Linked DNA regions of Rhinolophus ferrumequinum. The protein of the gene in region 1 interacts with the protein of each later gene in a pairwise test. Links are inferred from orthologs where the notes say so. Each region holds a gene or a part of one and is shown on either strand. Other genes may lie near its edges. The genes, in order: CEBPG and CEBPE.

Region 1 (16,705 bases):
ATTGTCCAGTCTTTACTCGAAAAGTGTCCCTTTTCCTTTACCCTTTATCCTGAATTTAACATTGATGGATCTAGTTCATGAAACAAACATTCTGGAATCCATCATCCCTGAGTCAGAAGGTAATGTCTGCTTAGGACATTGTTGTTTGCCTACACTGATGCTTTCTCCACAGGCTGAAGTGTCTGCTTCTCACTTAATAAAGCTGAGAAAATTCAGTGTTCAGTTCTTCATTCCTCTGAAGTTACCTGAAGCTTGGTGATCACACCAAAGCCAGCAGGAGTCATGGAGTCACAGGGAGACCTCAGGCCCTCCAGGCTGAGCTGGGGTCTGGCTGAGACATCCAGGAGGTGATGCCGGGGCCCTGGGTTCCTTGCTGGTTTTGCTCTGTGGGATAATGTAGGGAGAGGCTTTCCTGTATTTTGGCTCAGAGCAAAAGATCTTATCTGCAAAATCACAGCACTGTGCCTGGTCCAGAAACCATGAAAGAATGAAGCCTGGGATGACCCATTTACTGGGTGAGTGCTATGAGGCGCCAGCACTGTTCCTTACCTTCCACAGGCTGATGTGTCAATTCAGAGTCTATTTTCAGACAGGACATCTGCCCCTTTAAATTTGCTGCAACCATACAAGTAGTGAGTGTGCAATTGTAACTTGAATCCATCAAAGCCCATCATTCTAGTTCCTTTTTTTTTCAACTCAAGAGTTTTTTATTTTAAGTTGTCATGGGAAAACAACTCTTAATAAATCCCTTTAAGCACAGGGAACTAGGGCAATTACTGACATTTTAAGAATTATTGAAACAATTTTAAAGTTTTGATTTATGTTCTAAAAGACATAACTAATCCTTTTTTCATTTTCTATTTTTTTTTTTTCTTTTGGGAAGGGCTTCAGTGAATTTCAAGGGCAGACATTGGGCTCACAGACTGTTCAAGTCTAATTAATTAACTGGTTTTGCCCACAACAGTCACACCTGCAAAACACTGAGGTTGTAGCTAATCATCTGAGATTCTCCCACACTGAACTAATTGCACACGCCCTTTTGGGCCATGACAGATATATGTACAGGTTGAATTATAAGAAGGGAAGGCACACCCCCAGAGGGAAATCAAGTTTTGTTTGTTTGTTAGTGACTCATCACTTTAGCCATGGATTCAATATTCAATATCTAATGTAAAACATTAAAAATCCTGAGGTAGTACCTTGAAGCAAAAATACACAAGTCAGGTTAACCAACTGCGTTAGCATTTTTGTACGAAAAATTAGATTAGAAAATCCCACAGCTGGAAAAAGCAGTGGTGGAAAGATCCCCACCATGGTGTGGCTTAGAAATCCCTGGGTGAGCAAATCTGAGGGGGCTGGGTGGTAGGTTTCTTTCAGTTTATGATCAACAGGAAGCTGAAGGCCAGTCAGCTTCGGGCGCTGGAGAGGTCCACCCATGGTGGGGACATTCACATGGATTGTTCACTGCATTAGAGCATGCATCCAAAAATGAGCACAGAATTTATGGTAATACTTGCGTTTAACTTAAAAAAAAAAACCCAAAAATTTAACTTAAAATTTTTTTTAAGTTTTAAGTTTTTTGGGGTTTTAAAAAAAAAACCCAAAAGTTTAACTTAAAAAAAAAAATCCATGCATTGATAAACTTTGAAAAATAGGATAATAGAAAAATACTTGACCTTGAAGCCTCTCTTGGAAAAAGGACACATTACAGCAGGTTTTAAAAACTACTGCAAGCCTTATCAGAGTCACAGTTGAGTAGTGGCATGCAGGTCTGGAGTACAAATACAAAAGTTAAGTGTCAGAACAGGCCCTGGCATGCCTCATGCACCATCAGACGCATCTCTTCTTTGGCACAGAAGTTTGGAATTCACTGTTCCAAGGGGGGGAAAAAAAAACAACCACTTGTCAGTCCAAACCCTGGACACTGATACTGGCAGCCAGCTCAGTGATCATTTTCATGTGTGACTCAAATGATTTCTAAAAGGCAAGACAGCCTTCTCTGTGAGGCTCAGGTACCGACGTCACCTTCCAAAGGTGCACCTTCCAGCCCTGTTTCCTACAGGTTATCAGTGGTAATCAAGAGGAGTCGGTTTCTTTGGAGACGCCCTGTGTGAGGTAAGAGAGAAGGGAGGAGCTAAAGGAGGGCCTACGAACACCAAAGCAGGCCAAAGGAGTGATTTCCACTTCATAGTCATTGAGGATTCCAGGAAAATCAAGTGGTTGAACTTGAAGGGCTGAGACTAAGTGCAGTACAGTCATCAGGACCTGTGATTGTCTAGGGCCGATCTTCCATTTTCCAGGGCACAGTGGCCCAGGTAAAACTGAAGTGGAGCAGTGTGTGCCCTCTCCTTAGAGGACCCCACAGTCACCAAGCCCTTCTGAGGTGGGGCCAGGGCAGCAGCTAACTCCATCTCTGAGTTGCCCCACGAGTTTGAAAGTGCCTCCAGACCTTTGCCTTCACTTTTTCAGCAATCAGAAAAAGAAAGTCACATGAAGAATCAACTGCTGATGAAAGGTTAATTTGTGGGCGGTCCTCATTATCCTAGAATAAATAGTAGCAAAAAGAAAAAAAGGAATTGGAGTGAATCGACTTAAAACAGGAACCAAAATTTCATAGTATAGTGAAAAAAATATGATTGGGGCTTTGCCTTGAAAATTAAACAAGTGTTACAAAGAGTCGGTTTTTTTTTTTTTTTTAATTTATTTTTAATTTAAGAGTCGGTTTTATATTTCAGAAAACTTGGGTGATAACTGCAATTAGGCACAATTAAAATGAACAGAATGAGCCAGGTGTTCCGTTTATGGTTTGTGATGATATTCTATAGATTTCCTTTCAGGCTTTTGCAATGTGATGACAAAGAGGGTCACTTTATTAATTTTCCCAAGAGCCTCCCTTTGCTCTTTAACTCATTTTCTTTCATATCAGTATCCTTTATCCACCGATTTCCCTTCCTCAGGGGTTAACCTGTCTGAATCTTGCCCTATCCACCTCTGTCAATGTCTTTGCTTGTAAGTAAGACAAGCCACCAATATGACTTTCACAGACCGTGTGAAATCTGGCCTTTTCTGCAGCTTCACTTCATGGTAGATCTGCTGTTTGTGTATTCTATTCCACTGACCCCTCAAAATGGATCCCTTATTGGGTTAGGAAATGTGTAAGTGAGGGTTAATTTTAACCATGGCCAATTCATGAAGCATAGTCATTCATATTTTCATGTTATGACTCCCTTATGTCTCCTGAGCAACTTCATAAATATCAGGCTTTAGATAAAGAAATCTCCTTTTACTTCCCCGAAAGGAATGTTTGCCCATTTATTCTTTTCCAATAACACAAGCCTTTAAAACTATGACTTTTCTTGAGTAACTAAAGCTTTGACTATAGCCGCAAAATTTAATATATACTGTCCTCATAATTTTCTAAACATAGCTGAAATTGCCATTTTTATTATATCTAAAATTTATTATACCCCAAAGATTTTTTTATTGCAGTAACAATGGTTAATAACATTATATAGGTTCCAAGTGTGCAACATTATAATTCGATATCTGTATACACTAGTGCATGCTCACCATCAAAAGTCTGGTTTCCATTCATAACCATATATTTGACCCCCTTTACCCATTTTGCCCTTCCCCTACTTTCCTTCCTCTCTGCTAACCATCAGTCTGTTGTCTGTATCTGTGAGTATTTTTGTTGTTTCAGGTTCCACACATGAGTGAAATCATACTATACCAAAGTTATTATTTTTTCCCATTGTAACTAGTAAGTATCTTGTGAGGAGATACTTGGAGAATATGTAAATATCCTGTTTCTCATGCTTTCATCTGTTGATTTTAACATTCATTGACGATTGATACCTGCAACAATTATTCCTGCAGTGTTTGTCTAATGATAATTGGCTATTTCAGTCATTTTTCTGCATTTATTAATTGGAATTTGCTGTAAGGAAAAGCTGTTTCTTCTCTGCTATTTATTTGTTTATTTAGTAATTTATTTACATCAGTATGAGCTCATAGATATTTATTTTATTCGGCACGTTATCATTCATTACTATTATTTATTTTGTGACTCAAATTGTCCCACATCTAGCCATTGGGAACTTCTTCAAATTAACTTCTATGTTCTTTTGAAATGTCCCCATCATTTTTTGAGCATTTCTTTACTTCTGGCACCATGAAATGTGCCCGATTCTTCTTGTCTTTTCTCTGCCCATCTCTGGAAACAACCAGCTCTACAAGAAGCCCTAGCTCTTCTCACTGTAAAAAGATATTTAGAAACCCTGATTTGGTCTCTAGGTGGGATCGTTGCTACTGGGGTGTCATTGCTTCTAAGTCCTCTCAGAGGACAAAGCTATATATACCATATGTATATGTATATATATAGTCTGTCACACGCACACATCCATATTTATTTCTACTTCAATCTGTGTATATACTACAGTCGATTTCATTCTGATAACCTCTGTTTCCAATTTAATACCACAGGGTTCACTGTAGTCTTCCTCTTTCCTTATTTGTTAACTCCTTTCTCCAACAGTGGGAAGCTTGCTCTCATTATCCAAATGTATTTACTTATTTGCTCAGTCCTAGCATACACATAAACTAGTTCCAGAATTGCTACCATTCCCCTTTGAAAAATTTCGTAGCTACTGCCTATTATTTGTGGTTCTTTTTCTAGTTTGCCTTATCCAATCAAAATGCTATTTTCTAAAGTTACTCAGGTTAGTTCCTCTCTTCGCCACAGTGCTTATTTGTTCATTTGCAGTGCAGTTAGGTTCGTAGGTTACTGCTTGTATTTCACCTTGGGTTCCTCCCACATCCAAGTTAGTGTTCACTATTTATTTCTGAGGTGTGTGAAACCTTACCATGGTTTCAGAGTCAGAGCTGTACAGAAAGGTATACTCACAGAGGTATCACCGTCCCCCTCACCTCTGCTACCTTCTTCCCACTCCCCATTCTTTTGATCCAATTCCAACTCACCCTCTGTAGGTAACCAATCTCATTAGTTTCTGGTTTATTTTTTCACGTATTTGTTTTGCGTGAGGGATCCCCTATCCAATCTTGACGGCAAATGAACAGGTACAATGGCCAAGACCTTAAAAGGACATGATAACAAAGGGTAGAGATTTCTCAAGGATGAAGGTGTGGGTCACCCCAATAGGTAAGCTGCTTAGGCCAGAAGAGTGCTAGCCAACAGTGAGGGTGACCTAGAAGGGGGAGTAGGGGAGGCAGGTGATGAACATCAGTGCGCCTTGGGGCCAGCAGCAGCCATCGTTCATCCGCTAGCTATCTTCTGGCAAATTTCTCCAGCACAGGAGACCATCCAAAACTCCGGAGAAGCTATTCACAGATGGGATTAACTTCTTATAAGTAATAAGTGGATTCAAGCAGTGCAAGAGGTAGACTGCAATGGACGCCGTGGTGCACCCCTACTCAGGACAAAGTCTCTCATCCCCTCCAGCTGTGTTTTCTAAAACCTCATACGTACACGACACAGCAGTATGTATGTAAAACAGAACCTTACCTTTCTATAAGAACAGAGTATGACAGACAAAAAAATAGCAAAAAGCACACCATAATGTATATCTTAATGTTACATGTATGCCATGAGAAGAAAGAGTAAGGCCAGCAAGAACTTGAATAGTCAGCAAAGGCCGAGAGTTGAGACTTGGCTTGGGGCTTGAGGCATGGAGAGGAACTGGCTACGTGGAGCTGAGAAGGAGTTGTCCGCCAGATAGCACGCCAGAAGTAGTGGGCATTCGTAGCTTTCCTCAATTGTTCTCCACTTCATACCCCGCCACCCCCCCCCATTTCTCTCTGCCCAAGACACACTCTGATCTCATAAGCTCTTCAGGCTGCTGCACCTTTGGCTTTACCCTGGTTGAGGCAAGATAAGGCTAGAAAATTTTTGAAAGGACATTTACTGTTTTGGCTCTGAAGTTTGCCCAAGCCTTCCCACCTGTGGCTACAGTAGGTCTATTTAACAGTGACAGAACAAATCTCCAACCTCCATCACCAGGTATTTCTTGGCAGCTCCTGGGACCCCACTATAGTGTACCGTACCATTGGTATCGCCTATCATCAAAGTCTCTGGAGGACAGGCCCCTTAGCACGGCCTCTGCTTCAGCTTTTTTTTCTCCAACTTGTTGCCCATATGCCAAAGGGGGTTGATGCCTGAGGTTCACAAAAACACAAATCCTAGAGACGTTAAGCAGTTCTGCATTCACTTCAGTTCCTACCAGGCTGAAGAAATGGGGTGGTTCACAATGATGGGGGAAATGCCACTCTCTTCATAAGGACTACAACAGCGCTTGTCCCTTCAAATCCTAGCTTTCCCCCAAAAAACCTTTGCAAGGGAAAATGAAACAATCTCCACCTTCCTCTTCCAGCCCAATTCCCCCAATATTTATGTGAATGGATGCTGGTATCTCCACCCACCACGCCCAAGTAAATCTGAATCCACGTTTAAGCTTGCACAGGAACTGATTGTTACTATAGGAACCTAAAAAAAAAAAAATGTAAAAGGAAGAATCCATGAGAAACGCCTAGAAGATTCCTGACTCTAAGCCAACAAATTCAAGCACCACCCAGCCTGGTGGTGCTTTCTTGGCCTCCTTCTCATAGGCTGGGCACCAGCCTCCCACTTCCCCAGCCCCAGTGCCTTGTTCTGTAGGACTGCCAGCGCTTGGGACAGTGCTTGGCACAGAGTGGGGACTCAACTAATAATTGAGACAGATGAAAAAGAATGCAGGAGTGAGTACATGGGACAAGCACATGCCTCTGTCCAGGAAGCTTTCATTTCCTTCTCATCTCGGCCTTGCAGCTCCCAGAGATTGACCTGGCATGTGGACCTTCTGAGGACGGGTCCCTCAGTAGCCCAAAGATGACTCCCAGGGCTTCCACATCCTCTGGCAGCCCCACAGTGCTGTCCCGCCGCCTCTTCTTCCCTCTTTGCCACCTCCTCCCCTCCTGGAGGAGTCCCTGCAGTCCTGTTCCCCCGCTCTCTGGCTCCATTTCTCTGCATGGCTTGGGTTTGCCTGGCAGAGACACAGTCACCAGTAGTGAGCAAGGTAGGACTTGCGGCTCAAAGCTTTTCTGCGCTCAACGTCCTTATCAATTTAGCTGAAGTCTGTGCTGCCTTTGATTTGTTAATATTTCAGAGTGTTCTGTTTTAAGTTAATGTTAACCCTGTAATGTATCTCAAATGCTTTTTTTCTCCCCTAAACAGATTTTATTTTTAGAACAATTTTAGTTGCAAAATATTGAAAAGACTGAGATTTCCCATTTACCCTGCACCCAGTATCCCCCATTATTAACATCTTACATTAGTATAGTATATTTGTTACAATTAATGAGCCAATTAATGAGCCACAATACCAAATAAATTAAAGTCCATTCTTTTTTTGGATTTCCTTAGTTTTTATCCAATGTCCTTTTTCTATCCCAGGATCCCGTTCAGGATACCACACTACATGTCTCCTTAGGATGCTTCAGATGGTGACACTTCCTCTGACTTTCCTTGTTTTTAATGACATTGACAGTTTTGAGTAGTACCGGTCAGGTGTTTTGTAGAATGCCGCTCTATTGGAATTTGTCTGGTATTTTTCTCCTGGTTAGACTGGGCTTATGAGTTCTTGAGATCAAAGAGGTCAAGTGCCATTTTCATCACGTATCAACATGGTGTATGTCTATTGAGTGAACCTTGGTCACCTGGCTGTAGCAGTGTTTGTCAGGTTTCTCCACTGTAGAATTTCTCTTTATTTTTCCCTTTCATGCTCTGCTCTTCGGAAGGACGTGCGGGCCACACTAAAAGAGTGGGGAGTTATTCTCCCCCATCTGAGAAGAGAGTATCTACATAAATTATTTGGAATTCTTCCGCATGGGAGATTTGTCTCTTTTCTGACATTTATTTACTCAATCATTTATTTATATCGGCATGAACTCATGGATATTAATTTTATACTTTGGGTTATAACCCAATATTACATTATTTATTTTGCCACTCAAATTGGCATTGGGGCTCTTTGGACACTGGGGCGGGGCTCTCTCATTTAGCTCCTTTGACATCCTATTATGGACTGAATGTTTGTGGCCCTCCCCACCCCATGTTCATATGTTGAAGCCTTAATGCCAAATATGATGGAATTATATTTAGAAATGAGGACTTTGGGAGGTAATTAGGGTTAGATGAGTTCATGAGGGTCCTCTCATGATGGGATTGGTGCCCTTATAAGAAGAGACACCAGCTCTCTCTCGCTCTCTCCTCCCTGCATGTACACAAAGAGATCATGTGAGCACACAGGGAGGTGGTGGCTGACTTTCCAGTGGGACACTGTGCTTCAGCCACTCTGGCCTTAAATTTCTCCCATCACAAAGACCTTTAGGTAAGACATTCCCTCTGACTGGTACATTCACTTCATGGGTATCACTTAGACAAATCCTATTCATCTTCTTTTAGGCCTTCCCTGACCTACACGCCAGATTTGATTCCTTTCTTATAATCTCTAACAGCATCTTGTACTTCTTTCTCGTAATATAGTTAACAGAAAAAGTGTATAATTACTGCATGTCTGTCTCTTTGGCTCTAAAGTGTAAGCTCCGTGTGGGAAAGGGCTGTGTTCGTCTTATTTGTTGCTAAATCCCCACAGCTTAGCACATAGTTGGCACACACACACACACACACACACACAAATTGTAAACCAGCAGAAGACAGAATTCCCAGCTGAATAGGAAATACTCGTCTCCTTGGCATTGACTAGACCTGCTGAGTGTGGGAGAAGGCTTTCCCAGACAGACGAAGAATGCTGTGCCAGCTTGGCAGAGTGGTTAGCAAACAAGAGAATAAATGAATATACCAATACAATTTTTTTCCTATACAATATTTAGGTGATTAGGCAATGATCAGGGTAAAATTACGATTTTTAAGAGTACAAAATATAATCCAATTTTAATAAGCTAACATTTTGATCAAAGAAATTTCAACTCAGAACAGAGGGCCAAAGTGAAAGAAGCATACTGGTTTTGTTGATGTGTTACTCTACCAAATACGCTTCTATGTTTATCGTTGTTCATATTTAGTTGCAGTCCTTTTATTTTTATTTTTTGCAAATGTTTTAGCATGTCTTTTCTGATTCCTCGAAACAGTCTTAGGCACAAAGCTGGTCCCATGGCTTGGGCGATGAAGAAATGTTTCCTCTTTCAAAGACTATTTTTTGGACGATAAGAATTGCTAAAGAGGAAACAATCAAACCTATCGGGCGAGCGGGCTCTGTCCTCCAGCCAGCGCGCAGCTTCCTGGTTTTCAGACGCTTTCAGATCCTCCTGTGAATTGACTTAGATAAACAAAGTTGGAGAGCCATTCATTCTTTGAGATCACGTCTCTCAATCTGTTCACCTGGCAGACACCACACGGTAATCGATCATGGAAATTCAATTCGTTTCCTCCAATAACGAACCACAGTCTGCAGTGTTCACCAATGTGATATCAACACTAATCATAGTTGGGACAATTTTGCTTCCTTCGTTTTTCAAGTCCACAGTTGTCTTCATAGCCGTGAGGTCCAGGACTTCTCTCCAGGTTCCATCCGAGGGGCCCGGGCCCGTCGGAGGTCAGGCGTCAGCGGCGGGCCCCACATCCTGGGAAGCGACTCTAGTGGGCCGTTCTGGGAAACTGTCCCTGTGAGGGACGCCCCAGGACCTGGTGAAACCAAAAAAGAACTCGGTGATTCAATCATCTTAGGATATTGCGCTTTCCAAAGATAAGTGTTGCCTTCACAAAGCTACGCTTCTCCAACTTCCACAGAGCCTTTCTTACAGCTGGGGTTTACCCCTCCGGGCCGCCGGCCCACGCGAACAGCCGAGGGACCACGGGCGGCGCTGCGAGTAACCATCTGCTCCCGCCACGCCCGCCAGCCCCACCGGCCGAGGCCAACGCCTCCGCCACGTGCCCGCCTCCCGCAGCCAGGCCACCCACGATTGGCTGGCGGCGCTGCCCGTCGCGAGGGGTGGGCGAGTCGCCTGCAAGCCGGCCCTCCCATTGGTCGTGGCGGCGGCGGTAGCGCGCGCGGCCCTGGCGACTAGGGGAAGCCGGTGGCGGCGGCGGCGGAACGGGCGGAGGCTGCGGGTTTCGTAACTATTGCTCCTCCTCGCTGACTCGTGGGCTGCGAGGCCTGGGTCGGGTCGGGCCGCGCCACGCGGGGCCGCTCGGAGTGGAGGCCGCCTGGGGGCGGGCGGGCCGGAGGCTCAGGTATGGAGGCCGCGGGCTGGCGGGCGGGCTGAGGGAGGAGGAGGCCGCGGCCGCGCCGGCTGCTCGCGTGGGCGCGGGCCCGGCCCGAGGAGACCTGGCCGGGTCGGAGGCGGCCGGCTAGCCGGGAAGGCCCCGCGCGGCCCGCGGCGCGGGCGGCGGCCCCGCGCGGCGTCTGATGCAACCTGCCGGCAACACCCGGCGGGGACGCTGAGCTCATCCCTGGCCGCCGCCCAGCGCCGCGGCGCCACCCGCGGACCCCGGGCGCCCCTCTCTCGGGCGCCCCTCATCGCCGGCCCTAGACGGGATGAAAGACGAGGGGCGCCCACTCCAAACCCTGGCCCTCTGTGAAACGTGTAGTTGTGACAAGCCAGGCTCGTATTGGCCCCTGGGGATAAAGGGTGTTCCCAGAATAGCAGGAGGTGGACCATATCTTATTTTAGTATTACATGGGATGTTTTCTGACCCGCCAAAACGGCTCAGTGTGGAGTCGTCGGGAATTCTGTTCAGAAGTTAATAGAGTGATAAAGTAGCCAGGGGAACCAGTGGATGTTTTACCTACGTGACTTTACAGAAATACTATTATGCTCACTTGTGGAGCTATAGTTTGAATACCCTGCAGTTTACTGTTGAACATAGGTGAGATGAATGTGCAACAGCCACGAGTTGAATAGTAAAGAGAATGGCAGGAAATGAATTGCTTCCTTAGCTCAGTGGAGGGAACACAGTAAGGAAAATAGCCAGGAGAGGTGTCTGAGATGGAGAGGATGGATTAGCAGGTTTGAGGGGAACGGGAATCTTTTTTTTCCCCAGTAGGCTTGTATGTTTGTTTTCTTCAGAAGGTGTAACTGTTTGGTTTTCCTCTTGTCTGAGGTTTATGCTTAATCTGGCATCTTAAAATGTGTTAGTTTCAGAAAGGTTTTAACATTTGTGGGTTGCACAAAAATTGGTAGTTCTGTCTCTGAGCCTACACTCAGTTGAATCCTTATTTGAAGAGATCGTTCTTTAATTCAGATAGGCTATGTGACTCCCAAAGAAATTTTTGAAGTAAAATACGATAAACGCTTGATGTACTAAGAAACTCTGCATCTAAAAGTTCTTCATATTTAAAAGTTAACATCTGGTCAGTTATTACCACTTAAGTAATATTTGGGATAAGCTATTCTTAAAGTTGAATATTTTTGGAAGAATTTACTGTAAACAAGGTTAAATAATTATAGAATGCTAGGGAGCTGAATTTTTCAGTTTCTTGATTCCTGCTTCTGGTGGGCACACGTGGCTGATTCAGTCATTTTTAATATCTGCTGTAAAAAAAAAAAAAGTGGAAGCCTGCATTTCCCCCCACCCCCAGAATATCCTTTAAATTCTCAAGAACACATCATGACTGTCAGCAAGGTTGTCTGATCATGGAGAGGTGGTTTCATCCCTAGGGATTTAAATAGCACATGGGGAGTCCTTGGTAAAGACAAATAGGACCTCATGGGGCTGAATTTGGTCTTATGTTCTAAGATTGTCTCACCTGATCACAGTAATGGTGAATGCACGTAGCCGCAATTCCAGGTTTATTGTGTATTCTTGGGAGGGGACACTTCGTGGGTTCTTGTACTGGTAGGTACATTGATCTCCTACCTTTTTGGCTTTCCAGGCCTATCAATAAAAAAAAAGAACATGACCTACTAACAGGTGTATATTTATAAACAATGGGTGTAGACTATTTTTTGTATGTTGTAAATCAAACCAAAAGTGGATTTAAAAAAGGACATTAAAAAAAGACAAATGAACATACATTTGTTTCTCATACTTATGTACTCCCTGAAGGGATGTACCCTCTTTCATGGACCCCTATTTTGGGTCATGAAGCAAGCAGTGGTAACTAAATAGAAATACTGCTCATTTGGGTGTCTGTTGACTTTGCTTGCTTTTGACTTCACTTGTAGCACAGAGTTGTCAGATCCTGGCAACACATGTCTAAGAACTTGACATTATTAATTGGAAAACAACCGGGCAAAGTAGAAAGTGAAGGCTCTCAACTGACATGAAGCAAAGACCAGACAAGAATGAATACAGTCACTGTATAGACTGGGGACTTGAAGTAGCAAATGGAACTAACTGTGTTTTTATTTTCCTGTACACCTTTTAAGAAAGACCAAGAACTTGAGGTAGTAAGACCATGGTATCCTAATAACTCTTGATTTAATTGCAGTTGTTTTAAGAGATTTTAAAGCTAGAGAGTCTCATTTTCATAAGACATTTATAAAAATATGTTTTCTCTTAGCCTTTTGATCCTGTATTCAACAAATACTTGTTGAGCACTACAAGTATTTTGAGCACCACAGGGATATTATATACCTAGCCCTGCACCAGATTCTGGGTATGTGGAGATGAAGACAGTCTTGCCTCGAGGTTAGTCTACAGGGAGACACGCTGTAGGGCTGGTGTTGACAAAGAAATGGGGGGAACGAGCTGGACAGAAGCACAAAGAGAAAGCACGGACCATTTAGGGGACTGATAGTGGTTTAGTATTGTTAAGGTGTGAAGTGTAAGGGAGTAGGGATTGGAGAGAGGGTTAATACCTTGGATTTGATCCTGTATGTTGGAGCCAAAGAAGAATTTTCAGCAAGAGAGTGTGACACACTCAAGTTGGAGTGTTAGATTGCTCTGGAGACAGTGTCTGGAGGGATCACTGAGAAACCAGAGGAGACTAGTGCCCCTGAGAGATGATGTCAGCCTGAGGTAATTCTGTGGCATGGGGATGGAGAGGGATGGTGGATGTGAGGTTTTTTGGGGGGTGGAGTGGGGTCGGTAGAATTGTCCTGTACCAGTGATTGAACAGAACTGGAGCAAAGGAGAAACATCTATGAATATTTTGGAGTATAGACCTTCACTGAGGAAATTTGAATGAAAAATTTATTTGGGGGAACCAGGGAGGAATATTTGGTTGTGTACGTGAAAAAGAACGACAAGGGGATTAAGGAAAATTCTTTTTTTTTTTTTTTTAACTTTTTTATTTTATTTAAGTGTGTTTTTCCAGGATCAGCTCCAAGTCAAGTAGTTGTTTCAATCTCGTTGTGGAGGGCGCAGCTCACAGTGGCCCATGTGGGGATCGAACCAGCAACCTTGTTGTTAAGAGGCCCCACGCTCTAACCAACTGAGCTAACCGGCCGCCCCAAGGAAAATTCTTGACGGGTTTATTTTCCCAAATGGAACTTGAGAAAAATTTGATTTTGTTTTACATTCTAACATCTTTGTGTTCAGCGTGCTACTGATTTGAATGAGCATTACTTGAATTAGGAAAGCTGAAATTTAAAACAAGTTGCCCACGTAGTCCATCTTTCTTAAGATCTATTGTTAATCTGCAGCAGTGGCTCCCAAACTTCAGTTTCATCCGAATCTCTTGGAGGTCCTGTTAAAACAAGTTTGCTCGGCCCTATTCCTGATTTCCTAGATCTGGGGCAGCCTGAAAATTTGTACGTCTAACAAGTTCCAAATGATGATGTCACTGGGTCCAAGGACCACGCTTTGAGCACTACTGCTCTTCAGTTTTTCTATTGCTTCCTGCTTGAGTGATTCACATGGAAGGAAACAAGGCGCCACCCTGCTTCCTGTAGACTGAACTTTGTAATAAATAGTATTTGTCCGCATAGGAACCAGACTTTCATTTACAGCTGAATATCCAGATTTGAAATTAACTTATTTTTTTGCACGTGGTAGGTGCTCAAATGTTTGTGGAAGGAACAGAAGCACAAATGGCAGTGTAAACTGTAAAATGGGTAACTTTTAGAGGCAGCTGTTTGCTCAGTGTAAAAATAAAATTGATAATCTGTTTGGACTTAACGTCTTTCAGACCACTTAGTTCTCCGACTCTTTTTACTTGGTTCATTTTCCTTAATGACTATCTCTTCACTTTATCTTGGCTTCTCTTTGGTTGAAGAGCTTTTTAAAAAAAAATTTTGGAGTTTTTTAAATTATCTCCACGTTTCCCTTTCTTACTATTTACCAGTTTGACGATTCTTTGTTTTTCAAGACAAAGGGCTCATTTTCAAAACCTCGCCTACTATGTTCAGCCTAGTACCTTGGCAGGATGGGTCAGACTGACATAAAAGAGCCCTACCCTATCTTTGGGTACAAAAATGGGCATGAACATCACTGAGTTTGGAGTTTCACAAGAGTTTTTAGTTACTGTATGAAGTTCATGCTATATTGTCAGAGTTGGAAGGCATTTTACCATTCTACATCCCCCATTTGCAGAGGGGGAAATCGAGGCTCACAGAAAGGAAGGGATTTGTCCAAAGTGAAACAGAGAGCCAGAGCCAAGACAAGGATTGACCTGTTTCCTAGTTTGTACTTTAGATCACTGTTATCGCTGAGTTAACTATAATAGAGATTCGCTTTAAAGACTAAATGTATAATTGGTATATGAAAAATAAAAAAGATAAATAAGATAACATGATTGTAATTGTTAAGAGGATCCCAGAAGAGGTGTTAAATTAAACGAGTTCTTAAAAATTGAGTAAAACATTTAAGTTCCCTTTACACCAAATAGGTAAGCAATAGTGCAGACGGTTCGTGGTAAAGGTGGCTCAAATTAATACTCAACTGCCAGTTAACTGGGTGAAAAAATAGACAATAAATTATCAGGAAATTGTGAAGTGTCCATTGCTGAGGGTAGATTTGGAGTATATATCCATCGTGGCTTGGAAGGAAGCTTTCTGTCTTGCCATAGTACTGGAGTGAGAACAGATGACCCATTAGCTCAGGACTGCCTGCATGGCTTTAAAAGCACTGGAAAGTAATGCTATATGGACTTTTTAAAAGCAAAGATTTAAAAAAGCAGGCAAATAGTGTTTATACAGAAATGCCTGGCTAAAGATTTGGGTGAAGCTACTGGTGTTTACTAACAGCTTTTCTTAGCTGTGACGAGCTCATTGAGGCATTTCATAATTGTGGCTCCAGGTTGTTTTCCATGATGTAGTTTTAGTAGTTTTGTGAAAAGAGAACAGAATAGTTTTATGGTTCATAACACTGCTTTCTAAAGTTTTAAGAGTGCTGTGACTTCTTGGTAGACACGGTTCTCTCAGCTTAGTAGTCAATTTGCCTTGGGATGGCTTTATGATGATAGGATCGGTATGGCTTTGACACATCTTGAGGCAGTTGTAGTGCCCTAGCTGGTTTATAGTAAGGCAAGTGTGACTCGTTTCTGAAACTGCCTTCATTTCTGCAGGCCGCATTGCCGTCACATGTCCTCTGAGCGCCTTCAGCAGCATGAAGTGGGGGCCGGCTCTGCAGCTGCCCGCTCAGTCTAGCCCCAGTCCCGGTACTTGCACTCCCTTGGATGCATCATTAGGGCTTCTGTTTCTTTCCTCGTGGTTTTAGGTTGGCGGCATAGCTGTGTTTTTGAATTGTGTCAAGAAGAAAAAAACACTATTAGAAGCATGGTGAGATGGGAAAGCAAATTGGGTGCCTTCAGCAATCCTAAAACTGTGATCCAAGGAGCTAACTTAGGAAATTTCTGTAAACTATCATTTGAGGTCATTGAAAAAATAAAAACAAGTGAAAATACCTTTTCAAAATATCCCATAAAGATTTGCTCTGGGAGAAAATTTTGGCAAATCCTTGATGACTCACTCGCTGCATATGGGAGTAAGGAACCATGTGGCCATCACAGCGTTCCTGATAAATACTGGGCGCTGGGCTCCCCTACAGCAGGATTCTGTTTGACTTGAATCAACAATTGAAACTTAGCCCCCTTTCACTGCAGGTGTCTATTCTATCATAATTGAACTCAACTTTTCCATGTTTAACCCAAACATCTCAAATTTCTCTGGCAGATTGCCAAGTGCTCTTAGTTCATATGTGCTACCTAATTAGTGGTATTCTTTTGTTTTCCCTCCCATTTTTGAAAACAATCACAGATGGGCAGTACCCTCAGGGGTTCAGGTGGGCTGAATTTGGCCCGGTGGTGCTTCTGTACTAACCTACCTGTCTCGATTAAATGATTTAGACTTCTGAGACACTGCAACGGTTGGCAGTTGCCGTAGACTTTTCTCAGCATAATCAATCAATGTTGGTCTGCCATTAAGTACATGCAAGTTTAATCTCATTTGATCTTGTCATTTCAAATATTTTAATGCAATTTATTCCTTAACTAGGTATATGTGAAGATTTCTTGGCAGTGTAGAGTGGAAACCATTGATCACCTTGCCCTCATTTCTGCCTATTCTGTTGGCAAGGGAGAGTGCCCAAATGAGCAAGATATCACAGCAGAACAGTACTCCTGGAGTGAATGGAATAAGTGTTATTCATACTCCGGCTCATGCCAGCGGCTTACAGCAAGTTCCTCAGCTGGTGCCCGCTGGCCCTGGGGGAGGAGGCAAGGCTGTACCTCCAAGCAAGCAAAGCAAAAAGAGTTCTCCCATGGATCGAAACAGTGATGAGTATCGTCAGCGCAGAGAGAGGAACAAC
Region 2 (15,681 bases), on another chromosome or scaffold:
GGGAGGCCAAAAAGGAACACCCACGGAACCATACATAGGGGAGTCATATCACTATATTCTCGCCGGCGCCTGGGTTGGAGACACAGGAAGCAGGAGCCACACTATCCGCAATCTGCCATCCACTTCTCTGCAATCCACAATCCACACTCCGCAGCCTGCCCTTGCCAGCCACCATTCGCTTGCTAACCCCTGTTTTCTGCTAGCGTAGCCACGGCAGTTATATCAGTGGCTAATAACTAACCAACCAGTAACAGCTGATGGCCAACTAGTCACAGCTGATGGCCATCTACTACCCGAGCCAGCACCTTTCCACGTGAGGCCGAGAGCCTGGAAACCGCACTCCTGGCTCTGTCCCCACAACCAATTGTCGTATTCCAGGATATTATTTTTCATACAAATATTGTTATTGATTTACAGAATTACACTTTAACTCATAAGCATAAATAAAAAAATTAAAAACATTTATATAGATACGGAATTAGTACCACCCATGTATAATGCACATCCTTATTTTTCCCTCACAAATTTGGGCAAAAAAGTGCACAATATACATGGCAAAATACGGTATTTTCTTGCAAATTAGAAGAATAGGGTATAGCCCTAAATTATTTGAAGAATTCTATTTTGGAAACAGAGGGAGACTGGATGCTTCTACTTGAAGATTCTTCCAGCTGAGAAATCAAGGGCTCTCTCCAAAGCTCTGTTTTCCACTGCCACTTTCCTACCACTCTTAGAATGCCTGCTAGAGGGCAGAGGAGGTAGGAGAAGCCCATCTCCCCACCACACGCATACTCTCGGAGAGGAGAGGACATGGAGGAGAAAGGCAGCTGAATCTAGAGGCATGATGAGGACTCTACTGGGAACTCCCACCTGTGGTCAACAACAAGGAATGAAGCCCAGAGAGAGACGCTTCTTTCTGAATAAAGTCAAGGCCCCAGATTGCCTTGTACTTGCTAGGTTTCTTGATTTCTCGGGTCTTGACAGATGTATCTTCTCAAATTGCTTGAGAGAGACAAACTGGGACTGATCCGATGAGAGGGATGGCCATTTGCCGCGGGCCTAGCGGAGGGTCCTGCTTAGAAGTGGGCAAGGGGCAGGGAGCCTGATTGACACAGGTTGTTGCATTCTTGCCCCTCATTTCTCCACCTCTCCTCCTCCCTAGGACCTCAGCAAGCATACACCAATGTACCAGCAAGCTTACCAGTCCCCACGGGCTGCTCTGGCCGCCATAGGCACAGGGCATGGTTGACAAGGACTTGTTTGACCCCACCTAGGAGGGAGCACGTGGGCAATGAGCATTGTTCCCTCCCTGGGTACCCCCCCTTCTTGGCCCACTGCCCAAGTTCACCAACATTTGTTGACACAGCACTTGCCCTATCAGGGCTCAGGGTGTGACAGCCACAGAACTGAATAAAACCCAGCCTTTGCACTTGGAGATGTTCCCTGAGGGTGAAGAAGAGGGAAGGGGCCCTGATCCTGGGGCCACGGGGGCCACACAGCTAACAGTACCTCTTCTCCACAGATCAACCTGCTGTTTCCCATCATCTACTTGCTGTTCTGGGCCTTCCTGTTGGTCTTTAGCCTGTGGTCGGAACCCGTGGTGTGTGGCATCGGCCTGGCCATCATGCTGACAGGAGTGCCTGTCTATTTCCTGGGTGTTTACTGGCAACACAAGCCCAAGTGTTTCAATAACTTCATCAGTAAGTTGTTGAAGGCTCTGGGTGGCTAGAGGGCCTCCTGATCTGGGCCAGAGTCATGGGCGGGCAGGGGAGCCCCACCAGAATCAAGAGGCTTAGGCTGGGCCCCAGAGCTCTGGGGAAGGCATTGGGGGTGAGGAAAGGGCGGGTACCTTCCCAGGGTCCTCTAAGGAGAGAGCAGCTGATGTTTCCACATAGACTTCAGACCTGTAGGTATAGGCAACTTGACAGCTATTCTGCAGGAGCTGCCCTGGGCTGGGTAGAGACCAGTGGAGACCGTGGAATTGGTGGTCATTGGGCATAGGCACAGTGGAAAACTGCAGCCTTGATGAGCAAGGGGCAGCCGGCAAACATGCTGCCCACTGACACAGGAGACAGGTGAAGTGGCATCTCCTGGAGGAGGTGTCTCCTGAAGGCACTTGTGGCTCTGCTGAGGCAGAACCCAGGGCAGGAGAGTGGGCAAGGGCATGACCCACCAGGCTGGTAGGACACTGGGCACTGACCTGGTTCCCGTGTGACCTTCTTCCACAGAGTGGCTAACCCTGGTGAGCCAGAAGATGTGTGTGGTCGTGTACCCCGAAATGGATGGGAGCTCGGGGACAGATGTGATAAATGAGGACATAGAAGAGCAGCGGCAGCCCATCAACCAACCCATTGTCTCCAAGGCCAAGGACTCAGTGGAACAGTCCTAGCCCTGAGGACCACCATCCCCACTCAGCTGCGTCCTCCCTCCTTCACCTCCTTTTTGCTCTCCTTCCCTGCCTGGGTCCCCCCAACACACACACACACACACACACACACACACACACACATACACACCCTCTGCTTCTGTCAAGCAGGGGCAGGAACTGGGGGTGGGTGGTGAGAAACTATAAACAAAAACACTAACGTTTGTACCCAAAGAACCAGAACTTCACCCCCAGGACCTGTGTCCAAAGCCCAAGGCCAGGGCTGCCAGTGCTCCGAGCTGCTAGAGGAGAGTGGAGCTGCAGGAGTCCCCATAGGGCCCTCCCTCTTGGGCCCACACCCTTGTTGCCTCCTCAGGAGCATGAGTTCAGTACTGCCTTCCTTCCCCATTCCTGAGCCCAAGGGAGGCCTCAGCTCCTCCAGAAGAGGCAGCAACAAGCAAGAGTGAGCCATTTGGGGAGGGACAGACTCAAGCAAATCTGTCACTATTAAAGGTCGCCTGGAGAGACTAGTGTCCCCTCCCTTCACTAGGGACCCAAGAAATCAGAGGCAGTACTTCCTTCTTCCCTCTTCCCAACCCCTCTGCACCGTGCCTCCACCCTCCCCAGCATGGGCTCCCTGTCCAGACTTAGATTCCTGTCAGGACAACCCCCGACTGAGCTAAGGACCAACAAAGCAAAATAACTGCCCCTCCCCTGACGCCCAGCCAGCCTGTGGAACAGATTGGGAAAGGCTCAAATTGCAGAAACCCAGCCCTGCCCCTGCCCCTGCCTCCTGCCCCCAACTGGGTGCCAAAGCTTCCTGAAACCAGAAAGATGTCTCCTAATGACAAAGCAGCTCAGCTCCTCCTCGCTCCCCACCCCCATGGGAAGGAGCAGGCACCCTGTCACTCTGCAGCTATGCTCCCAACATACCCCCACGCAGCCAGCACTGCCTGTGCCCCCGTCAGGCCCTTTTCCTCCTCTCTGGACTTTGGCTCCAGGACCTAGGACTGGGTGTGAAGGCTCCCCAAGCTCTTCAGGCCTGAAACCCGAGCCAAATCAGCCTTAAGTCACCTCCCATCCAAGAACTGGACCTAAAAATACTCCCTGATTTCTAACCTTCAGGGCAGACTTGGTATGAAAAGCTTTTCCAGGAGGAAGGGTGCTTTCCCATCTCCCCGGAAGTACCCATCCCATAACCTCCTAGACTGGGGAGAAAGTGTATTCTGAAGGCCAATTTCTCGCTCCTTCCTCAACTCAGATAACCCCACCCTCTTTTCCGGTTCCACCTCTGTCCTGTCTTTGGACAGCCTCCAGGGCTAGGTGAGAGGGGAATAGCAGAAGGCACCCACTTTGGAGCCCCTTGGAAAGCCTGTTGTCCGTGGTATATGGACTCTGGCAGAGGCTGCCTTTCCTTGTGCTCCAAAGGAAGGAGGCAGTGTTTGCCCTGGGCCTCGAGCCTTCCCCACCACACCTGTTGTGCTAAGGACTAGGATCCTTTTATCCCAAAGCAGGAGTTCCTCCATTCCCCCAACTCCCCAGCCCATCTGCTTAAACTGGAATACTCTGGGAGCCCTCCTGGCCTGCTCAGGTCTCCCAGCTTCTGGCCCAGCCCCCCTGACCCTGCATTGGTGAGTTGCCAGGTGTGGTATGAGCTATGGCCCCTTCAGAGTGGACTCCAGGTGGGCTGGGGCTGGCCCTTGGAGGGTTAGGGGACCATCCTCTTGTTCCCCCTTCTCATTCCTCCAACCTCATTTCCCCCTTCAATTATTGTTGTGTTTTTTTGTTCGTAAAGTGGATGCCTTACTTTTTGGATAAATATTTTTGAAGCTGGTATTTCTATTTCTTTTGGATTTTTTTAATGTAAGGTGGTTTTGGGGAGTAGGGAGTTAGTTATTCCTGGATAATAATCTTCTGTCTTTGAGTTGGTTTAGGTTTTAGAGGGTTTGTTTGTTTTGTGAAGGGTTTGTTTGGGGGGGGCTTTTCTTTTGATGTAATAAAATGTAAAATGGAGATGAAGTCGATGGTATGGTAATTCAATGACCTTCTGAGACAGAGTCGCCAGGTATTTCCTATCTTGTTAGGAGATCTTTGCTTGCCAGATTCCTTCCAGGATGCCATTCCTCAAAGCCCTCGCTCTGTCCCAGCGACCCCGTGCCAGCACTTTCAAACAGCTACCTCTTGTTTTGAACCAAAACTCGCTCTCATTTCTTCCGTGAAGTCACAGTGTTATGACGTTCCTGCTGTGTGCCGTGCAGAGAGCTTGCAGACTAGCCGGCTGGGAAGAACCTCGTCACTACCCAAGGTGGGCACCAAGTGCATGGAGGCAAAGGCAGAGGTGGTCCCCAAGGCCCGGTGGTCAGCAAAGTCTTCTGGTTCCAGGACTGCCAGAGCTGAATGGCAAAGGAAGGGACAGCCTGAGTTTGTGCAGAGACACAGAGGGGGATCTTGGAGAGCACCCAGCTGGGCCCAAGAGCTTGAGGGGAGGGCCTGAGAGGTGACGTGGGGTCTACTTAGCTGGAGTCGACTTCCGCAAAATAGGAAGATTTCTAGGTGGAAGAGTAGGAGGACTTGTACTAGCACAAATGAAGAAGTGGTTAAGGTAGGGGCTAGGGCCTCCCGATGCTTTGGGTTAATTGCTAGAGGAAGTTGACAGGATTAGACCCTGTCATTGCTTGGAGTCCCTCCTTTGTGGGCATCCCTCCCAGCTGCCTATCCTGGGACGGCATCATCCCAGAGTCAGCACTGCTGGAAGCCACGGGCAGGAGGGGGCCCGGGGGTGGAGGGGGGTTAAGACATCACCCTTCACACCTGGGACACTGTGAGGACACAAGCAGGCAAGATGCCTCCACTCGTGTCCTCCCGACCCCAACACTCCTACTTTGCGGTTGACGTTCTAGACTAAGGTTGGAGGCTCACCATTCACAGGGGCACAGGCTTGGCTCTGAATCCCAGGTCAGCCACCACACAGCGATGTGTCCTTGGGCATGGCAACCAGTTTGGCACTTTTAGAGGGCAGGGGGAAGAGCATTGAACCTAATTCCAAAGTGTTCCTCAATCTCCCAGCCCAAGGTTGTCCCAAAAGAGTGAGGGCAAAACTAGGCAGAGGCCAGTCTTGTGCAAGAGACCCTTCTCTAAGTCTCATGGCCACCCTTTGGGTTCACCTCTTCCCCAACAAACACTTTTCCTTTCCCTGGGCTGCACGAGGTCTTCTCCATGTCACCTCATTCTGGCAAGTCCGGCAAGTCTCCAATCTCCTCTCCATAGAGACACTTGTCCCTGGGGGCCCGCTCGCTCGCGCGCTCTCTCTCTCTCTCTCTCTCTCTCTCTCTCTCTCTGTCTCTCCCCCTTTCTCTCTCTCTCTCTCTCTCTCTCTCTCTCTCTCTCTCTCTCTCTCTCTCTCTCTCTGTAAGGTGACACTTGCTGATCTTTTCAACTTGGTCAAATGGGCAAATGTGGGTCTCCGCCTGAGCAACATGCATTTATTTTTAACCTGGGCCTTTCCCCTGTCTTAATCCTATCAGTCGCTTTAATGCTAGGAACTCAGATACTCAGACCTCAGGGAACTTGGGAGCCTTTTGGAGGTCACTGAAATCGTAGCTGCTTAAGTATTCATTAATTAATACAGTCACACAACAAATCTTTTTATAACCATTGTGTCCAGGGATTTTGCTATATGCTGTGGAACAGCAAACTTACTCTTGAATTTTTCAACTCAGCACAGACTTCAAATATTTTGTTTCATTTTCCCCATAAGAATATTCATACACGTCAAACCACCTGTCCCTAATTTTAATTCGAGCATACGGTCACTACAGCTAAAAAGGTCCGAAAGATGTATCTGACCCTACCCTCAAGGAGCAGATAGTCTCCAGGGGAAGAAGGCAAGAATGCTCATAGCACAGAGACGCGTCCTTACCGCGTCACTCACTGGCCACTCCTGCTGGACCCAGGGGCTGAAGCTGCCAGATCCCTAGAGCCTGCATAGGGCCTGGTACCTAAGTGTTCAAAAACATTTGTCAAATTAAGGCATCAGATGAGGCTGCAGACAGTGTATCTGCTTAGGAGACACAGATAAACCACAACAGGTGGTCAGCGGAAAGGCAGAAAGAGACTGAACATTGCTTTCTGTACATTATCTTATGAAAGTTTAATTAAACAACCTGACAAAGTAGGCACAACTACTGCCATTTTACAAGATTAAGTAACTTGCTCAAGGTCACCGAGATGATGACAAAGGCAGAATTCGAGCCCAGTTCTCTCTGACATTACACGGCCATGCTCAGCCACCTCCCTGTTGGAAAGACATGGTGAAAGGGATGGCCTTTGAACTGAGGCCAGTGACAAAGTAAGATAATACACGTGCATTGCTTCAATTAATGCAAACAGGTAGCAACTGCAGGGGCAAGATCTGGCTGACCAGGGAGGCTTTCTTTCTGCTCCTGAGCGACTATGCAGAACCCAAGAATCCCCCAGCCCTTGACTGGCACTGCCCTCCCCAACACCCTTCCTACCCAGCAACCCCTTCTCCCCTGCCCAGACATCAGAGCTTCTCCTGCCCAGCCAAACCCCTTGGTTACTGGGAAGCACTGATGTCAGTGTGCCAGCAACCCCGTCAGCCACCAGCCTGGGAGGTGAGGGACGGAGATCACTTATCTCCCCATGGCCGGAGCTGCCTGATTTTCTCATTTCCTGCCAGCTCTATTTGCACACCTCCCTGCTTCCTCCAGCGCTGGTTCACTCACTACTGACGCAGTCTCCCTCTCCCCCAGGGTGGCTGACTGAGAGCAAAGAAGGCTCTCTGAATCACACAGCTCTCCCTTCCTTATCCCTTCTTGCCTTGGGGTTTCAAGAACTAGCCATGGCCCTTTCCCCCAAGATCAATGCTGTATCCTTGTATGACCTTGGGCTTCAGCCTCTCTGCCTTGTTTTCCTCATTTATAAGGCAAGGATAAAAATACTGTCTGTCTTGCTTACCTTCCTACTTAACTCACAGGGAAACTGTCAGCATGGAAAAGTATGTTTCAACGATGGAAAGCATCACACCAGAAAATGCCAGGCTTTCGCTGTCATCACCAGTATTTCACAGTTGGGGAGGGATAGGATTTCTCACTGAGACAAAGCCCGGGCCCCAGTCTTCTCAGCCTGCCCACTCTCTCTGTGCCTGCACTGCAAGCCCTCATCCCAGCCATGTTTCCTCTTCCTCCTTCCCTACAGACTCAGCCTGTCTCGTGGGTGCCAGGGCTGTGGGAGGCTGCCCTCTGTTGTCCACCTGCTTCCTGGCCACCGCGGCCCCTCAAGTCCTCAATTTTGGACCAATATTGTCACCTGGTGGTCAACAGAGGCACTGCTGCCAAACTGAAGTAACTTGGCTGTGGTACCTGTCTGCCCAGGGTCCTTAGAAATCAGGAGAAGGCGGAAGAAATCTCCCCTCCTGGTTCCCGAGATCTGTCTCTGGGATGCACACAGATCTTCCCATGCCAAGTCAGGGCTTTCAGAGAAAGAACCTCAAGCCCTGCACAGAAAGCTCCTGGGGTAGTGCGGGAGGAGAGAGGGAGGGAGAGGATACTAACTAGAGGGGTAACTTGCCTCACTTGTAGGCAGCCCTGTCTACATTTGCATACTTTCTTTTAGTGTTCAATGCTACACATATCCCCTCTGCATTTGCCCCGCTGTGGCCTGGCCCTTGGTGTGCCTACCTTATAAAGCCTTCCACCTCCCTACAGGGTACCCACAGCAGTTGCTAGTGACAAAAGAGCCAGTGATATATTTCTATGTGTCCTTTCCTTGTCACTGGACATATAGTTCCTTTTATAGTAGATGAAATTCGACAAGTGAAAGCAGGGTCACAGCCAGTGCCTCTGACAGAAGGGAGTGGGGAGTTCCCAGAGAAAAAGAAAAGGGAAGGAAGAGGGAACCCAGCATGAGACTAAAAGTGCAGAGAACAAGCCCTGGGATTCTCCTGTAGACCCTGAAACAGAGACCCAGGAAGAGGTGATGACAAAAGACAAGGCTTCTCAAGCCTCACAAGAGGAAGTGGACCCAAGAGACACATCAAGGTCAGAGAACAGCCATGAAGAAGGGAAGACAGCAAACTGAGCTATAGCGAGTGCCTGAGCCCTGCGGCCGGGCACAGGAAACTGGGCAGAGCCCCAGGACCAGAGCAGGGCAGTGCGCCAGCCTGAGGCTCTGGCAGCACAGCACAGCTGGAAGAGAAAGGCACTGGAGCCACCAGAGGAGTGCAGTTTTTGGTTCCTGGGGCAGCAGCCTGCCTGGGCCTGGGGCACAGAGCCCAAGTCCTGCCCAGGGGCTTCAGCCAAGCCAGGCACTCAGGGACAGTGCCAGGCTGCTAGAGCCAGCCAGGGCTGGCAACACATGAGGGTTTGGGCTATTGCACAGATCTTGTGCAAAATCTAGCAAATAAGCATGCTCTACGCCACAACACATGCCCCATGTATGGCTTGCTCCCAGAACTTATCACGACTTCCTAGACCCCTTAAACTCCCCCTGGCATGCACCCAGGAGGATGACCTGGGAGGTGGGGCTACAAAAGGAACGGACTGCCCCTGGGTGGGGGGGGGTGGAGCCCTTGGGGGTACAGAGAGGGAGGCGTGTCAAGGGAGGAGCTCAGCCCAGGCTGGGGGTCGGCACTGTAGGAGGGTGTTCTCCGTTCGTTCTGACTTGCCACCTCATTCTGCAAAGAACTTTCTGGAAGTCGGAGGGAGGAGGCTACTCAGAGGGAGGTGTTGCCCTCGGCGAGGACTCTGGAATCCCCTGGACTCGACAGGGACTGGAGAGGCATTCCCAGAAGCATCAGCTCCTGGGAGGTTCAGAACTCTGGCTTGGACCCTGACCAAAGCGTGCCCCAACCGCTAAATAGTCCGGGGCCCCATTTCTCTAAGGCCTGCATCCTTCCCTCGGGGTGCGCCCTGCCCCTCCCTGAGTCACCCCAGGGAGAGAGGGGGAAAAAAACGGAAGAGAAAAGAGGCATTGACTACAGGGGAAGGAAAAGGAAACAGCAGAGGAGGGAGGAGAGAGGCCACACAGGAGTGGGTGACAGAGGAGACCGAGAGGGCAGATCTAGGGCAGATCTAGGGCAGGGGGAGATAGAGAGAGGGCAGGCCAAGCATCCCACGGGTGCCCCAAGAGCAGGGCTCAGGGGCGGGGAGCCCAGGGGGCGGGCCGGCCATGTCCCACGGGACCTACTACGAGTGTGAGCCCCGGGCTGGCCAGCAGCCACTCGAGTTCTCAGGGGGCCGCGTGGGGCCCGGGGAGCTGGGGGATATGTGTGAGCATGAGGCCTCCATCGACCTCTCGGCCTACATCGAGTCTGGGGAGGAGCAGCTCCTCTCCGACCTCTTCTCTGTGAAGCCAGCACCAGAGGCCCGAGGCCTCAAGGGCCCCGGAAACCCTGCCTTCCCCCACTACCTGCCGCCTGACCCACGGCCCTTCGCCTACCCTCCACATACCTTCGGCCCCGACAGGAAAGCGTTGGGGCCTGGCATCTACAGCAGCCCAGGGAGCTACGACCCCAGGGCCGTGGCCGTGAAGGAGGAGCCTCGGGGGCCCGAGGGCAGCCGAGGGGCCAGCCGAAGTGGCTACAATCCTCTGCAGTACCAAGTGGCACACTGTGGGCAGACAGCCATGCACTTGCCCCCAACCCTGGCAGCACCCAGCCAGCCCCTGCGCGTCCTCAAGGTAAGAGCAGGTCCATTCTCCTTGCCTTCCGGGGGGCTGGAGAGCTTCCTGCTTTAATTCTTAACGGGTCTGTGTTTGGTGTTGCTCTGTGAAAATGACCCACCCCGAAGCCCTCTGTGCCCACCACCCAACCATGACCCTGCTTTGCTTCTCTGTGAATTCACTCCCACGCTGAACCCCACTGTGTCCTGCAATCCCTGTGAACATCTGACCTACTCAGACCTCAGCGCCCCCACCATCAGCTTCTCCGCTGCCCACCAGCCCCCTGCTCTTGTTTCTCTACCTCCGGCTTCACGAAGGGGAAATGCCTGCTGATCATAGAACAGGAGACTGAAGTGTCCTCAGAGAGCGTGGGAACACGAAAGAGAGTTGTGGTCAGAGCAGGGACCCCATGCATCTGGCAAAGCAATGGCTGCTTTGACTGGGAGCCAGGAGCTGGCTCTAGATCCCATGTCCCTTGGATGCCCAAGGGAGCTCTGGCTTCAGGCATTCCTGCCCTGTCGCCACTCCGCTTCCTGGCCAGCCCTCACCTCTTGTGCTTCTGTACCTTCCCCTCCAGGCCCCTTTGGCCGCTGCCGCACCGCCCTGCAGCCCCCTTCTCAAGGCGCCCTCCCCAGCTGGCTCCTCACACAAGGGCAAGAAGGCGGTGAACAAAGACAGCCTGGAGTACCGGCTGAGGCGGGAGCGCAACAACATCGCCGTGCGCAAGAGTCGGGACAAGGCCAAGAGGCGCATTCTGGAGACGCAGCAGAAGGTGCTGGAGTACATGGCAGAGAACGAGCGCCTCCGCAGCCGAGTGGAGCAGCTGACCCAGGAGCTGGACACCCTTCGCAACCTCTTCCGCCAGATCCCGGAGGCCGCCAACCTCATCAAGGGTGTGGGCAGCTGCAGCTGAGCCCAGCCGGCAGACTGTGGGCACCAGCCCCCTGGCCCAGCCTGACCCTGGGGACCCCCACCCTGCTGGGGTCCCAGAGCCCCTCACAGGCAGAGCCTGAGACATAGACCATGGACAAATGGCAGCGGGTGGCAAGGGAGGAGGGCAGGCCTCAGCATTATGATTCTGTGGCTGAATAAAATTGCACTATGACTCAGTGCTGGGGCTGTACTGTGTGTGTGTGTGTGTGTGTGTGTGTGTATGTGTGTGTGTGTGTTTCCTTGTGTGGCATGGGGGACTCCAAGGGCATACATGTAGCTCTTGATTCCATACCCAAATGAATATTTGGGAGTATTCCCAAATATTCAGCAGACTTGCTACCCACAGATCTGCCCCCAAGAACTCCCCTGGCCAGGCTGTGAGCCCGTCACTCTGTTCTCTTCTCTCCTCCCCACCACTGACTCTGTTCTCTGGACACTGAAGGCACCTCTACCCCCACCCCACAGGACCTGGAGCAGCCTCTGATTACTGTCCTAACAGAGCTCTGGCTTGGAGGGAGATCCGGCACCACCCAGTCCCTTCTGCCCAGGCCTGCTGACCCCAGCCTCTCTCTCACCTTGAGGTATCAGTCTGGGAGCTCCTGTCCCAGGTGACCAAGGGAAAATTGCACATGGCTCTGCCGTGGTCCCTTAGCTCTTAATCCAGCCTCGATCCCTTTTCTTCAGATCCCCAGCTTCAGTCTACCAGACTGACATGCCTCCACGGCTCCTTTCCACCCACTCCCATCTTTGTCCCTTATCCCCTGGGACTCAGGTGCCGTAAAGCATGAGGATCTGGGTGCTTGTGGGATGAATCTGTTGGGAAAGGCCTTGAGTCCTGTTTGCATATGAGAAAATTGATGACGAGGAGGATGACACCCACCTGTGCCAGTGAAACCCCATGTTGAAAGCGTTTGCTTTATCACGGAACTCTCGCCTAAGAAGCAAAATAGTACAATGCTTGACAGCCTCAGTTTGAAACTCACTCTGCTATTTATTAGCTGTGTGACCTCAAGCCAGTTACTTCTCTGTGTGCCTCAATTTCCTCATCTGCAAAATGGGAGTATTGCTAGTCCCCACCTCATAATGCTGTTATGTTTACAGATCAACAGAGCCTGGCACAGGGTCAGCATGAATAATTGTTATTATTCCATTTTGCTAGATGTGAAAGGACCTCAGAGATCTCATCTAAACTTCTCATTTTGCAGGTGAGCAAAGTGAGGCCTCAGAGAGGGGAAGGGACCTACCCGGAGTCATGAAATTGGTTAGAAGCAGAACCAAAACTAGCTCCATAAAATCACAGATCTCAAGAGGTGCTGGAAAAGACCTCAAGAGATCATCCGGTAGGCTTTACCCTCAGACAAGCAAGATAGTGTGAGCCACATTTTGTAGATAAAGCAGTTGAGGGCCAGAGGGGATAAGAGATGGTCTCCTGAAGCTCACTCAGTCCCTTTGCTGTCAGCACAGGGCACCTGTCTCTCTCCTCGGCTCTCACACCTCCCCTCAGAGGTGTACAGCACACAGTGGGGCACCTGAATCCCATTCGTACGTTATTGGGAATGCCAGACAGAGACAAGGCAAGAGGCACAATTCAGGCTAGTGACAGTCTCTCCTAGGTCACTAATGACTTGTGGGCCACTGCTGAGAAAGCCTGGGAATAACTTTCTGAGAGACAGAGAGCCGGGGGCCTGGGGCCTCCCTGTTCTCTCGCTCCACATTCCCAGTGTGGGAATGTTCCCATACCCCCAGGCATCTGTGTGCACCATGCCTGCCTTACACAGGGCTCAGTCTCTTTCCTGCCTTTACCTCCCTGTCTCTCAGGCACCATCTCTCCTACATCTGTGCCCTGGATCCCCCGCCCCAAGTCTGGTTTGGGCAGACAGATCTGAACCTCCCTAGGTGGTTTATTCCCTCACTTGCCAGGGGCCGCCTGAGTTTAGAAGGGGGAGGTGCCAGTCTCTGTGGATGCCTGGGAGAATCCTGCACCTTCCTTTCAGCCCAGGGGGATGGGTTGCACAAGGGGGGTTTGTACAGAACATGCTGAGTGACTCAACCTCCGGATTTCCTCCTCTCAGCTCAAGACCACTGCCCCTTGACTTATTTTCAACCCCATGCTTCTTTCCCACAGCTCTGAAGTGTGTCTCCTCCCAGCCCCCACCGCCCCATTGGCTCCTCGGGACAGGTGGTTGGCACCGGGACTGGAGAAGAGCCACAGCCCAACTGGGAGAGAAGGACATGCCTGGCCCCAGTGGGACGTGGAGTGACAGGCACACCTCAGTCCTCTGTGGCAGATCATATCCCGGGGAGCTGACAGGCAGCCAGAAGCCACACTTTCGGAATGAGGCTTTTAACCTGACCTAAACTGGTTTCAGCCAAAGTAACTTATTCAACAAGTATGTGTTGAGCATCTTTCCTGTGACAGACCCTTGCAAAGTATCCAGAGCCCTGCAGTAACCAAGACAAACCCAGCTCTTAGCTGAAGGGGCAGGAAGAAAAAGGCAACAAACAAGGGTGCTGAGTGCCTTCCTCTGCACCTCCTTGGTCATACTGCCGTGTTCCAGGTGGGACAGGAGAGTGAAGTTTAGTGCTTGTCCCCACCCCTCCCGGACAGGACTGGACTCTCCACAGCTCCCCCCGGCCCCACTTCACCACTCCTTGCTGCCTTCCCTTCATCCTGTTCCTTCACATCTCTATATAGCACCTTAATTAAACTCACTAATTACTCCATTTGAATATGCCCATTAGGGAAAACACATAAACAAACAAGTAAGGAGGCTATTTTAGCTGGAGTGGTCAAGGAAGGCCTCTCTGAGGAGGTGACTTTTAAGCTGAAACCTAAAAAACTTCAAGATGGAGGCAGATGTGCCAAATTAAGGGGAACATGAGCAGAGGGGAGAGCAAATGCTAAGGCCCTAAAGTATATGGGTCGGGGTGGAGTGGAACGAGAAAAAGAAAGCAAGCCCAGGGGAAGCTGGCAGGATGGAAAGGAGCAAAGGGATAAGCAAGTTGTGAAACTCTGCTCATTCCTTCCGCTGGGGAGAACAGTCCCTAAGAAGTTGGGGTGGGATGAACAAGCGGGCATATCTCTGCTCCCACCAAAGGCAAAACAGATGGCAGAAAGGAGGAGTCCCCAGGAAGGGAGGGCAGTTAGCCAGCCCTCTGCCTGGGGAAAGGCTGGAGGCCTGGGGATTCGGTAACTTGGGAAAACCAGCCAATCAAGGTGCAAATAGTACACACATGCATTCCTATTGCTTTACAATCCACAGCTTGGGCCCGGTTTTCCTTCATGAGCCAACCTGGGCACCAGGATGAGAGTCCTGAGCTGACAGATAGGATCACAGGCCCCAGGGAAGCCTCAAAGGAAGAAAGGCTATTTGGAGATACCACGAAAAGGGAGGAAGCTGCCCAAGGTGAGCCTGCCAAGGTCAGTCCGTGGTGGAGGCTGCTTGTGAAAGCCGCTCTCCCTGCTCCGTGCACACCTCCCCACCGCACCCCACCCCCATGGATTGCCACATGCCCGGGCCCCCAGGGCCCCCATCCCAGTGTTGCAAGATCCCGGTTGGGGTTGTGGGGGTGGAAAGGGGCCTCTTCACCTCCACCCCCTACCCTGCCCCAAGCCAGTGAGGGGACTACGGGATGGAAGGGGCAGTAGAGGAGATGCTGAGGCAACAAGAGCCAAGGATGGCTGAGGGCCTGTGCACCTCCTCTTCCACAGGCCAGTCACTTCCCATTACCCTCAACCTGCCCCTAGCAGGCAGACCTCTCTCCTCTCAGGACTCAGCCTGGGCTGCTCCAAAGTGGGAACGGTCCAACCTGGATAGGACTCCTGGCTGGCTTTGTCAGCTGCTCCTATAAGCAGGTCTGGCCTGGCCTTAGAAAAACTCTAGTGGCACATAAGAAATTCTCCAGAGCTACCCATGGGGAGATGGTGGGTATTTTTAAAGGAAAATGGCTGGAACTGGCCACAAATTCTGACTTCAGGGAGCAGCGGGAAGGTCCTGGGACTTGGGGAAAAAAAGGCTGCCTAATAGGGAGAGACCCACCTCCAGAGCTGTAGCCTCTTCTCTTGTAGAAACAGAGATCTGAGGTAGGTAAGGCAAGCCATACATAGATTGGATCCATCCCCCATGTCCCATCAGCCAAGCTTTACCCCTAACCAAGCCCCAAACTGTTCAAACCCTGTTGCCCCCACACCTAGCACTGTCCCCCTGGCCAGGCCATCCAACCCTGCTGCAATCGGGACGGTTTGCAAAACGCCTACTAGCTCCCGCTTTGTCACCATCTGAGGTTAGGACTGTACTTGGGAGATAAGCCCAGGCCCCACCCGCCTGTCCCGAGTGAGACTGCCGGCCTGCTGCAATCGGGACGGTTTGCAAAACCCCTGCTAGCTCCAGCTCTGTCACCATCTGAGGTTAGGGCTGCACCCCAAGATAAAGCCGAGCCCCGCCCACCGGCTCTGCCTTCAAACCTCACAAGCAGCAAGCAGCACGGCCAAGAGACGGAACTCCTGGGAAGCCCACTTAGGGTCTGGAAGCCTTACTCAGGCCCAGTGAACAGCCCTGGTCCTCTCCTCACCTCTTCTCCCCTTCATCCCTAGCCTCACGGTCCCCATCACTGTCCTCTCCCCTCACTCTCCATCTACTCGCCTCACCTTTCCTCCTGCCTCAGCTCCCTCCTGCCTGCCTGCCTTCATTCATTCTTTGGCT

Evidence for each region.
Region 2: the proteins of CEBPG (region 1) and CEBPE interact in a two-hybrid assay, tested with the Homo sapiens proteins (2 studies listed by BioGRID and IntAct, with this or other methods). The link is inferred for Rhinolophus ferrumequinum from reciprocal best matches to the Homo sapiens genes CEBPG and CEBPE.

Annotation. Positions count from the first base shown.
Region 1 is NC_046298.1:34,550,053-34,566,757, forward strand, and holds the start of CEBPG (CCAAT/enhancer-binding protein gamma), read left to right. Parts: upstream 1-10,048; 5' UTR 10,049-10,246; intron 10,247-16,392; 5' UTR 16,393-16,486; coding exon 16,487-16,705. UniProt on the Homo sapiens protein: Transcription factor that binds to the promoter and the enhancer regions of target genes. Binds to the enhancer element PRE-I (positive regulatory element-I) of the IL-4 gene. Binds to the promoter and the enhancer of the immunoglobulin heavy chain.
Region 2 is NC_046289.1:73,647,076-73,662,756, reverse strand, and holds CEBPE (CCAAT/enhancer-binding protein epsilon), read left to right. Parts: upstream 1-8,987; 5' UTR 8,988-9,553; coding exon 9,554-10,063; intron 10,064-10,622; coding exon 10,623-10,958; 3' UTR 10,959-11,157; downstream 11,158-15,681. Other genes in the region: SLC7A8 (large neutral amino acids transporter small subunit 2), read left to right, coding at 1,523-1,700, 2,229-2,389. UniProt on the Homo sapiens protein: Transcriptional activator. C/EBP are DNA-binding proteins that recognize two different motifs: the CCAAT homology common to many promoters and the enhanced core homology common to many enhancers.